3 linked regions of the Tamandua tetradactyla genome follow. The protein of the gene in region 2 purifies or fractionates together with the protein of the main gene of each other region. This does not show direct contact. Links are inferred from orthologs where the notes say so. Each region holds a gene or a part of one and is shown on either strand. Other genes may lie near its edges.

What was found.
Region 1: the proteins of ARMC8 (region 2) and ZMYND19 purify together in Homo sapiens (affinity purification with mass spectrometry; 4 studies listed by BioGRID and IntAct, with this or other methods). This does not show direct contact. The link is inferred for Tamandua tetradactyla from reciprocal best matches to the Homo sapiens genes ARMC8 and ZMYND19.
Region 3: the proteins of ARMC8 (region 2) and TCEAL9 purify together in Homo sapiens (affinity purification with mass spectrometry; 3 studies listed by BioGRID and IntAct, with this or other methods). This does not show direct contact. The link is inferred for Tamandua tetradactyla from reciprocal best matches to the Homo sapiens genes ARMC8 and TCEAL9.

The regions. Positions count from the first base shown.
Region 1 is NC_135328.1:130,325,802-130,329,548, reverse strand, and holds the start of ZMYND19 (zinc finger MYND domain-containing protein 19), read right to left. Parts: upstream 2,170-3,747; 5' UTR 2,092-2,169; coding exon 2,041-2,091; intron 1,496-2,040; exon of another isoform or gene 699-1,495; intron 662-698; coding exon 602-661; intron 379-601; exon of another isoform or gene 1-378. UniProt on the Homo sapiens protein: May be involved as a regulatory molecule in GPR24/MCH-R1 signaling.
Region 2 is NC_135341.1:82,117,031-82,120,777, reverse strand, and holds the start of ARMC8 (armadillo repeat-containing protein 8), read right to left. Parts: upstream 2,620-3,747; 5' UTR 2,356-2,619; coding exon 2,311-2,355; intron 1-2,310. UniProt on the Homo sapiens protein: Component of the CTLH E3 ubiquitin-protein ligase complex that selectively accepts ubiquitin from UBE2H and mediates ubiquitination and subsequent proteasomal degradation of the transcription factor HBP1.
Region 3 is NC_135353.1:70,599,999-70,603,692, forward strand, and holds TCEAL9 (transcription elongation factor A protein-like 9), read right to left. Parts: upstream 2,465-3,694; 5' UTR 2,325-2,464; intron 1,834-2,324; 5' UTR 1,768-1,833; intron 1,397-1,767; 5' UTR 1,324-1,396; coding exon 1,012-1,323; 3' UTR 558-1,011; downstream 1-557. UniProt on the Homo sapiens protein: May be involved in transcriptional regulation.

The sequences.
Region 1 (3,747 bases), on a different chromosome or scaffold from region 2:
AACCCTGAAAAGGCTCACAGTCTAATAAGAGACAAGCCCCCAGATCAAACAATCATGGTAAAAAATGTCAAGGGCTGAAATGTAACATGGCAGAGCGACATGAAGAGAAGGGAACACTTTGGTGAAGAGAAGTTTGTCAAGTAGAGTCCACCAGGGAGAGGCATGAGAGCACCAAGGGCGCAGATAGGTGATTGGAGAATGGAAGATGTTTGTGGCATACAGGAGAACTGGCAGCCCAAGGCAGGAAGACAGGCTGAGGTACACGGCAGAGTCTCACTAAGGAACAGGGACAATAGTCAATTTCACAGATGTTTTATCACAAAAATGACAAAATTTGCTTTGTTTTTTAAAGAAGAGAAGTTAACACCCAGAGTAGAGGTGAGGAAAGGCCACATCCCAGGGGTCAGGCGGGAGGTCCTGTGGGCAATGTCATTGGAACTCCAGGTAGAGACCAGGACTTTGGACATGGGAGGCAGGATATATCTGGGTTTGGGGTCTCTCACTCCCATAGCACAAGGCAGAAAACTCATTTCTCCGGGCCCTCCCAAGGCTCCCATGGGCTAACCGAAAGCAGACCAGAAAAGGGCCAGACTGTCCTTACCTCGAAGGAGTAGCTCTCCACCAGCGGGATGTCTTGTTCATCTATCAGTGTGTACTTCGTCTAGAAATTAACCAGATGTTTCAAATCATTACACTAGGGATCAGCATGAGGCACTCAAATTATGGCCAAGAGCAGGATGAACTGTGGTTTCTCGTGAAGGAGAAGATAACTAAAGGCCCCTTCAGGTCGACAAAGGACTCACCTTGGCATGGGGTAAGACACAGGTGGATGTGTTAGAATACAAGTGGGAGAGGGTTTCGTCTGTCCAGAGGAGTCTGATTCCATGCACATGAGATTCCCCAAGAGAGTGACACTGAATCAGGCTGACTGCTCGCTTCTACCTAGTCAGAGATGGTGGGCTCACTGGAGCAGAGGGAGGGGGCATGACTGAGAAGAATATTCAGGATGTCTCAGTTACTGTTTAACTAATTAGGACGGGTGGTAAGTACACAGGTGTTCAATAAACTATTCTGGTTAGCTGTCTATTCGAAATGTTCCAAACAAGAGATTCAAGTGATGAGAGATACGGCATCAGTCACTGATATCTTTCCCTTTGAAGGGGTCTCAGAATTTAATGGGGAACTCAAGCTTCGCTTAGAAAACTACATCCCCAACAGCTGCTGCTGGAGCTCTTGCAGAAAAAGAAGAAAACGGTCACATGACTGGTCTAACTCTTGGAAAGTTACTACTGCTAGCGGATCTGAAAGGGCTTCATCTTCATCTGACTGCACACTGCCTCTTCTCTCTCCCACCAGAAATCTCTGCCACTGGTGAAGGAGTCGGGTTCCCACCCAGGCTAAGGTCAAGTGGCTGGTACAGCTGCAGGGGCCAGCCGCTGGAAACAGCCAAGCCTCCCGGCTCACAGGTGCCAATGACAAACACGTAAAGGTTAGGGCCAGGTAAAGGGAATGAAAAAGCCCAAGAGCGGATGGCAGCAGAGGGAGGCCCTGGAGACCCTGGCTTCCTGTCCCTGCTTTGGAGAAACCTGTGGACGCTCTGCCAAATGTGGCCAACCCTTGGCAGCATTAAAACGAGCCCCTAAGCACCCCTGTTAACCGAGAGACGCAGAACTTGGCCACCAGTCCACACCGGACCCCCTTTAGCAGGTGTGGAAGTGGCACTGCCTCAGAAAGGGCGCTGCGTTCGACCCGTGCGGCCGCAGGTACAGGCCCCAGATAGCAGGCACACCTGGACCGGGCCAGGTGAAGCGGGACGAGGCGCGGGGCGCTTGCTCCGAGGGCAGGCCATGCGTCCCGCACGCGCAGCGGGCCCGCGGGGCTGGACCAGCAGCAGCAACCAGGTGCGTCCGCGGGCCGAAGGCGAGAGCCCTGGGTCGGAGGCCGGAGCCCGCCGCGCCGCACGCCCTGCGAGAAGGCTGCACCGCGCCGCCCGCCGACCCCGGCCTGGCCTGGCTCCCACCGCGCCCTCTCCCTGCTCACCTTCCCGGCCACCCGGCCGAGCCGCACGATGCCCAGCTTGAAGTCGGTCATGGCCGGGCCTGCGCTCGCCCGGCAGCGCCGCTCCCCCGGGAGGCGCTGGGGCCCGGGCAGGGGCGAGGCCGCGGCGCGCTTGTCCGAGGTCGGGGCCGGCGTTCGGGCGGGCCCCAGACGCGACGGGACGAGGCTGGGCCGGGATCGGGCCGCCGCCGTCGCCACCGCCGCCGGACCTGCCACGCGCCGCCGCCGCCACCGCCGCCGCCGCTGCCGCGCGCACCGCCGCGAGCCGAGGGGGCGGGGCGCCGCCGACACACCCCCGCCCGCGGCCGCCGACCAATCACGAGGTGCGCACCGCGCCGACCGGCGCGCGCCGACACACAGCGGCCAATAGGAGACGGGCGAGTGCGCCGGCGCCCTAGGGGCAAAGCGAGCGCGGGGGAGGGGCAGGGCGGGGGGCGGCGCCTGCGCGGCCGGCTCGGCACCGACGTCAGTTTCGCGGGAAGCTTTGGCTGCGGCGGCGGAGGCTTGGCGGCCCCGGCCGGGATCCCGCTGACCTTTGGCCGGACCCCGCCGGACCCCGGCCCGGGCCATGCGGTCCCAGGCCCAGACCTCGCCGGCCTCAGGCCGAGACCCCGCCGACCAGGCCGCCCCCGGCCCGACCCTGCCTCCTTGCCGGTGCCCTCGCCAAGACCGCCCCTCCCGCGCTGTGTCCAGCGGAGGCCCCGACGTCCTTTCGAGACGGATCCTGAGGCAGCTGTGTGGAGTCAGGAGCAACGAGGAGACTGGGAGAGACGCGTGGGCCCTGGCGGTGGGAAGGTGGAGGGAGGGGGCGGACGGACTGCAAGCCTTGGCCAGACGCTGGGAGGCGGGAGGGGTGCCTCTGGAAAGGCAGCACAAGGCCTTGCCCATCTGAGCCTCGGGGCTTGCTTGCTGGCCAGGTCATGTAACTGTCCTCGTGTCTCCTGGTTTGCCTGCTCTCCTCCCTTCTCTGTGCGGAGGCTAGGTCAGGCCCACCACGTGATCTGGGGGCTTTAACCCCGCAGTTCATCCTCAGCGTCCACCGACCCTCACTGTAAGCTGGGCTGATGCTCCAGGATGGAGAATTTCTGCTGGGGACAGAAAGTCCTGTGACCAGTTCTTCCCGGAAACAGGAACTCCAGGGACCATCTGGGTTACAGACTCCAGCAAGAAAGCTGAGACCCTCTCAGAGAGGAGCTAAGTGGGGCCTTGGCTGGCATGCGTCGGGATCGAAACAGGAGCAGTACTGCCCCTCTTCCCCGCCCCACTGCCAGGATTGAGGTGGGGCAGGTCCTGTGTCCATCAACAGAGGGTGATCCCCCAAACCTCCTTTCTTGTATGCTGGGTTATGTTTTAGAGACAAGATCTGCAAAGGGTTTTTTGTGAGAGACCAGAAATTCCATCTGTGGATCCCTTGAGACTTGTCTGTTCCCCTGAATGTCCTGGAGGACAGGAAGGACTGGCAGGTCCTGGCCTGGGTGGAGATGGAGGATCTGGTCCTTACTGCTCGCAGCACATGTCCTGCCAACCTCAGATTGACATAAACGTAGTGAGATTATTAGAAAGTTCTGTATGGAATTAGAGTGCTGTTCTAGTTTGCTAGCTGCAGTAATGCAATATACCAAAAATGGAATGGCTTTTAAAAAGAGGAATTTAATAAGTTACAAGTTTACAGTTCTAAAGCTGTGAAAA
Region 2 (3,747 bases):
ATTAACAGAAATTGGAAAGTCATGACTAAGTCCTTCTTTCAGGAGAAGGAATGCATTGTGTTTAAATTGCTGGATGACATCCACACAACTGAAGATATAAAACTAGATGTAGGAGAAGTCAAGGCTGGTAATGTTGATGCATGAGTCAGTCACAGTTAAGGCCAGGAGAGAGAAGATCTCTCAGGGAGAAGTGTAAAGGGCCTTGGATGAAAATCATTGAAAACAATTTGATTTCCTTCTTGTTCAAATTATGTTTCCCAAACTATACAGTCTTCCAGTCAGTGAGCAGCTTAAGGGTATGTCTGATGCCAACCCTGCACTCCCCTAAATCAGTACACAATACAGGGCTTTGTACATGACTGGTACACAAGAAGTAGCTTATCAAAGAAATGAAGTATTCAAGATAATTTCTGATTACTATTTCCTTTCCTGTTCCATCTGCACTTTGTCTTCCAAAAAGTGGTGTTCTGGGAAGCACTTTGAAAGGTACAATCTCCACTTTAAATTAGTAAAATCAGTTTTGGATACATCTCAGTCATGCAAGTTTACACAGTTTAAATAATTTATCCAAAACTCTGGTTTCCCAAGGTTTTAGGACTGGAGAGCCAATAGACCAGACTTTGAGACTGTGATAACCTTTAAAAATAAGCCCCAAAGAGCCTAGAGCTACAGTGAATCACAACTAGAAGTAGAGAATACTCTTTAAGAAGTTTTCAAATAAAATTAAACGGGAAATATCATTTACTGAAGAAGTGAATAAAAATTTTCAATCATATGCATTATGCTAGCTAATGCACAAAAAGTTAAGAAAGATTCAGGTAAATTGAAGGATAACTGAAATCTAAACGAAACAAAGGGGAACTAAGAACAGTCCAAACACATATCCCTTTTTTAAGAACATAATTAAGGAAAAGTCATTGGTCTGCTCTCCCATAAAACCTTCCTGGGTACACAGTCAGAGGTAGACTAATGGACTAATCTTATTCAATATTTAGGTGAACAGAATTTCCCCAGTTGCCGTTTTAAAAAAAAAAAAAGGTACTGCTAAAATGGATCAGGGAACAAAACTGTTGCTAGGACCTCAAATTAAATTATTACTGTATTATTAAATCTTTTCAAGTTTGCAATATGCCACATTGCTCTAATTCTAAATCATAAGCAAATGTCCTAGGTGCTTTCAGACAAGTATGCTTGTGGGAAAAGTGAGGGAAGGGAAAAGAGACCAACTGGAGTCACAGACTCTAGGAATCAGAAAAAAGTCATCTATAAATATTCCAACTTCCCAACTAGTCTCTCAGTATCAGACTGGTTTCCATCACAAGTCTAAAAGATGTCAACCAGTCTTTGCCTGCTTGTTTCCAAAAACAGCAAACAGATCACTGGTAGACTGACCATTCTCAGAGGGCGACAGCTCGAATTTGTTGCAAAATCCTTTGCAGTTAACTCCCGGTAACTTACACCCCAGTCCTCGATCTCTCAAGAGCAACACACTGGATGTCTTTTTTTTTTTTTTTTTTTTTTAATATTTTTTCTAAAAAACTAGGTATGACTTTCTGGCATGGTAATACGTTCTCTTCTTCCAAAACCGAGAAAGGGTGATCTTTCTTTTCTCATTGTCTGACTCCCCTTAAAGAAAAAAAATGAATGCCTGGAACAACAAGCACACAGTCCCTTTAAACTCAGACCCCCGACCTCCTGAGCAAAGCGGCAATAAGGGGCTTAGATAACCACATACTCTAAACGGTGTTGGAGCTGATGTGAAATCCCCTTTGCTAAAAAGCAAGCCGCTCCTGCTCTAGTCCGGGGTCGGCTCTGCTGGGACGCGACAGAAGGGACAGAGACCCGGCTGGTAACTCGGAGGTGGGCGGCTGGGGATAAGGAACCTGCAGCACGTCTGACCAGAGCCCCAGGGGGCTGAGTGGGCGCTCGCTCCCAGGCCGGAGGCTAGCCCGCCGCCTCGCAGGGCAGCGCTCGGCCAGAGAGAAGAAGCATCGATAAGAGGAGGGCTTAGAGAACGCTCGGCAGAGTCCTAGCCGCGCCGCCAGGCGAGCCGCTCGTTCGCCCAACTACCCCGCCCGCGGGACGCGGGACTGGGACTCGGCACCGGTGGGAGCCCCGGAAGTCGGGGACGTCTCTGGCTCGGCCAGGGTCCCGTCTATCCCATTAGCTCGTCCTCACTCGCTGCCCGGCCCAAAGCTGAGCCGGAGGCCACCCTAGGGGGTGGTGCTCGCGACGCGCTTCGCGCTGGGGGAAATGATGCGGGACGGGCCCGGCTTCTGTGCCGGCGGGCGGCCGCGGCGGGTCACTCACCGAAAGGACGCTCATGCGGATTGGGGTCTCCAACAGGCACGCCATCTTGAGCCTTCCCACCCGGCTGCTGCCGGCGCCGGCGCGGGGGCCGGCACTTTCGACAGCGAACCCTTACGCCAAAGTCAGTCACCTCTGCAGAAAGGCAGACGGGTAGACAAGGACCAGCTACGCTCTGGACGCCGCTGAGGTACCAGAAGGGCCCGCAGAAGGGAACGCAAAGGGGACTCGCCCAAGGGACCTCCTTACGAATCGTCGTCCCAGAAACAGCAGCTACTCTCCGCCTGTGTGAGAGGTGGGCGCGGGCAGCGGCTTCCGCATGCGCAGAGAAGATCGGCCGGCCCCACCTGCCGCTCGCAGTGGGCGGGGCCTGGCTCCGGAGCTGTAAACTCCTGGTATGTTGCAATGTGTGAGTTAGCGTATTCATGTCCCCAAATACTAGAACGTGGGGCCACAGACGTAGTTTGAAATGCTCTTGTACAGTCATTATCTCACTCTCTCTGCACCATTTATAGGTGGAGAAACTGTAGCTCAGCAAAAGTTGTTCTTAAGCGGCTATTTGCCTTAGATTTTCCAACAGAAACAGATCTCAAACCAGGTCTTCGGCCGCCACTCAGACTCAGTGTTTCACCACCCTATGACGAAGTGTGATCTGCCTTAGCATTGTCTGCACGACCCATTTATTCTGGTGTAATGTTAAGAACGCCTGGGTTTAATCCTTGTACTTTCACTTAGCAGCGTTACCGCGGGCAAGCTAACCACTTTACTTTCCCCTTGTTTCCTCATCTGTTAAGGTAAAGCCCAAGAGGAGAGGGGAGTCAATTAATGTGAGTCGCTTAGAACATTCCTGGAACACAGAAAGCTTTATATATGCATTAGCATTTTTCCAGTCAAGTAGGAAAAATGGAGGCAAATATCTGGATAAGTCACACTAAAAAGCTCTGGTAACTGAAGCCAAACATAAATATGCTCCTATTTGCATTTTCTGATGATTACAGTAGCTCTCTCCGTTTTATTGGTGTGAACAAAACTACCCTTGACTTAGCTGAACAGGTTTCACCTTCGACCTACTCACAATCAGGAAGGTTTTCTTAGAATGATTGCAATGAGCCTGTTAACGTTAGTTGTTTTTCTACCATTTCTATGGAAGCCACTCCTAATTCGAGCTGTTTTTAACTTTCCCCTAGTCTAAAGCAACAGCCTTCCAACTGGCCTTGTAGCCTCTAGCTCTTTTTCAGTTTATTCTTCACTGCTTTCCTATCTTTCCCCTTGTACCTTGGTTCTAAATTTATTGTACCATTTATCACACTTACTTATGGGTGTGTGTTCCCCACTAAGCCGTGAGTTCCTGAAAGGGAGGAATTCCATCTTAGATTTTCTGTCTTGAACAGCGCTTTTCAAACTTAATAATCTGTATACCACCTACACAATCTTGCCAAT
Region 3 (3,694 bases), on a different chromosome or scaffold from region 2:
ATAACTTCTTAGTTTAGCTGTATAGAGACACAAAGAAAAATGAATAGGGGGCTGGAGTTTCAGCTTTGAAAGTATGGAGGGCTTGATGGGTTTGTTTTGTTTTTGCTGGTTTGGGTCAAAGTATAACAGAAAAAGCAACTGTGAGCTCCCTCAAGGTCTCATGCTAAAGTTTAGCTATTTTTGAAGGAAGTGGACAGATTACTTTGGTGATAAATATGCAACATTCTGCTGTACCACTAACGTTTAAAAGCTTTTGCTTCATACATTTCTTAAATGTGATAAAAAAATAAACTTTCTAATTCATAATAATATATGACATAGATGATAATTCCTTCAAGGGATATGGGACTTCAAGTGAGTAGGATGTGCATATTTACAAGTGTTTGCCTGGTTATTTCAGTACTTGCTTCTATTTGTATTCAAATATATTTCTGTTTTCTTTTTGGATGGTTAAATGGCCTTGAAATTTTAAAAAAATCACAGTATATGAAAGTAGAAAATAATAAAGGGATTTTCCATAAAAATATAAAAATAAACTGGTAAGTGCTACTGGTTACTTCTTTTTTGTTATAAAAATTTATTATTTTTAATAACAACAATGTGTGTTCATTTCTGAAATAAGGAAAAATACAAATAAGCAGAGAAAAAAATCACTCATTATCCCACCAATAAGAGACTGTACTTTTGTCTTCCGTCCTTCAGACATTTATGAGCATATATGTAATCTATAAATGTACTCTTCTCTTTCAAACTATGGTAGTCATATATTACTTAGTAACTTTTTTCATTTTATATTCCATCAAATGAACAAAGCTCCCCTATTAAAAGTTAGAGATTTGTAGATCAGTTAAAAATACAGTAAACAATGAGCTATAAATAAGAGAGGCATTTAAAATTACTAACACTTCCAAGTTAAAAATAGGAAAAGAGTCGAAGGTACATCAAGAAAATGCAAATCAAAAGGAAGCTATATGGTAATGTTAGTATCACAGCAATAAAAATCAAGGTAAATTACATTAAATAGGGGTAAGGATGATTTCGATTAACCTTCCAACGCATCACTATGAGTTTGTTCCTTACTCTCCTTATCTCGTCTATTTCATCCACTTCTTTAAACTTATCTTCATTGCTTAAATGCCTGTTGTGTATATCTTCTTCAAATTCCTGGAGAGATTGAATCAGTCTTTCTCTAAAAGTTACTTCTGTTTTTGCCTCCTCTTCTAGCTCTTCTTCCTCTGGGTTTTCCCCAGGCTTTGGCTCTTCCTCCAGCTTTGGTTCATTCTCATTATCTGGTTTGCCTTCAAATTTTTGACAGGGTTTCATCGTGTGTGTGTCTCTCTGCCTTCCTTCCTTCCTTTTTTTCCCCCTGCTTATTTCTTTTTAAATACAGTTACTCCTAGAAGGCAAGGAAACAGTAAGAAGGAAAGTGTGAATGGACCAGTGCTCTGGACCAAAGTTTCATTTGCCTTTTTTGATTCAGAGCTGAAAACAAATATCTGAGCAGCTCAGTCAGCAATCAGGGTCTCTCTGCCCCTGCCCACTTATCTTCACTTTCCTTTCCTCCCTTCTCTTGTCTGTTCCCCCGCCTTTTCCAGGGTCCTCCTTCCAACCTCCTAGCTCTCCTCCAATTATTTATCCCCGCAAGGCATTACACAGACCCCTCCCAGAACGTGGTAGCCTGGGGGGATGGGCACTGGGGCCTTCAACCTCTGATTCTACCTCACCCACCCTCACTCTAGGAGTCCTTATAACATTCCCCTTACCTACCTGCACTGCTCCGGTCAGGTTTTTCCTCCTCTTTTCTAGCTTTGTCCCGTGCTACGGACAACAGACCTGCAGAGCAGAAGACAAATGGGAAACGGAAGGGATGGTAGGGGGAGGAGTTGGAGGGGGCCGAGTGCTTGGTGTGCCGACCAGCACTAGTTTCAGGTCACACACATTTCCTCAATATGAGTCTCAATTATGGAAAGTTTCCCACTTTCTGTTTCCCCCAGTTCTCCCTCTCTCCCCAGTGCTAGTTAGCTCACATTTCTCATCAGTCAAGGAGTGAGAAGCTTAGATTACTTACGAACTGTCTTTAAGACTGACATAGAGCTTGGGAGGAGGGGTGAGCATTGGGGGGCGATCTGAGATAACAGAGGATACTTATTTTTAGCTATCACTGGTCTCTGTCTTTCTTCCGGGACCCCTAGTCCCTTTCCAAGGGTCATTTTCTACAGACCTGGAAGTGGGGGTGGACAAACGGATTGACCAAGACTCCCTCAAGTCTCTGCCTAGGCTACCCCCACTCTAGGAATCCCGTCATCCCCCATCTTGACACTTACCTGCACAATTACAGCAAGTTGATTTCTTCTGCTGGCCTCAAGCCCTGCTGCCAGCACTACAAAAGGGAACTGGTACCCAGACCGGAACAAGGATCAGACTCGCAGGACTTCTGCACACGTCGACTCCTGGTCACGTGAGAGCCACGTCACCAGCGAGCTAGGGTCCCCAATTTCCACTCCCACCAAAAGCGCGGCAGAAGTCGGCCCGCCCTCTGCTCCTCTTACCCCGGCGGTTCACATTTGGTCTTGTCAGTCTTTTCTGTTGTTGTCTATCACAGAGTTTTTGGGAAAATGTTATTTGCCTTTCTCTGATTAAGGAGAGGCTACATCTTTTTCTGGAGATACTGAACTTTTCTATTTCTTGTTTAGAGAATTGTCTCTTTTTGTCTTCCGCTCTGAGGATAACCAAAACCCCCACTCACCATCCCTCCCCCAGCCTGCATTCCATTTGCAATCTTCTCTGTAGTTGCTGTGGGGCCTGGGAAAGAGTGTAGAAACAGTTGTAGAAGTGGGACCTGGAACAGGAGTGGAATATTTAATGCATTTTTTACTTATTTCTTAATACTTTTATATTATTATTTTTTAAAAGTCTTCTATCTTTTTATAGTCAGAAAAGACAAGGACAAAATTACAGCGATTAAATGAGTTAATACATGTACAGTCCTTAGAACAGTGCCTGGCATATAGTAACTACTTTAGAAGTGTGAGCTCTTATTATAATTATATTAGTGTTTCATTTGGAGAAAATTAGTATTTCAAAATGGAAAAAGTAATGTGTGACTCTAGAGTTCTGGTTGTGATGTGTGTCAGAAAGCTGTGCTGCCTGCAGAGTCAACTGTCAGCTACACATGTGAGTAAGTTTCCTGATCTGAAAAAAGAGAATAGTATTCAAATCATAATTAACTGTTAGTGAGTCTAAATGATAGCACCAATGCAAAGCACTTGGCTTTCGGAAAACAGATATTGGTTTCCTTCCAACCAATATCTTAGTCTTAAGTCTAAGACTCACATCTTACTCTTAGACACAGGTGACGAATGTACGACAATTCTTCAGACTCAAGAACAGTAACTCACTTATAGTAAGCACTCTATAAATATCTATTAAATTAATGAATGAGTTGAATTAACAGGAAACGATATAATTTTTATAAGCACAAAACACAGGCAGCCACTTCTAAAAATGTTGCATTGCTCTCAGAGGTAACATTTGAGAAATAACAAGAGATATAAGCATGTACTTTTATTTTATATAAGCTTCAGTGCCCTTTCTGTGAGGGGGGAATGAAGAGCTCAGTGAATAATGTGGAAGGAAAAACAAACCCTCACCCCATGACAGTTTATTTCACTTACTCTTCTCTCATACTGTTTGG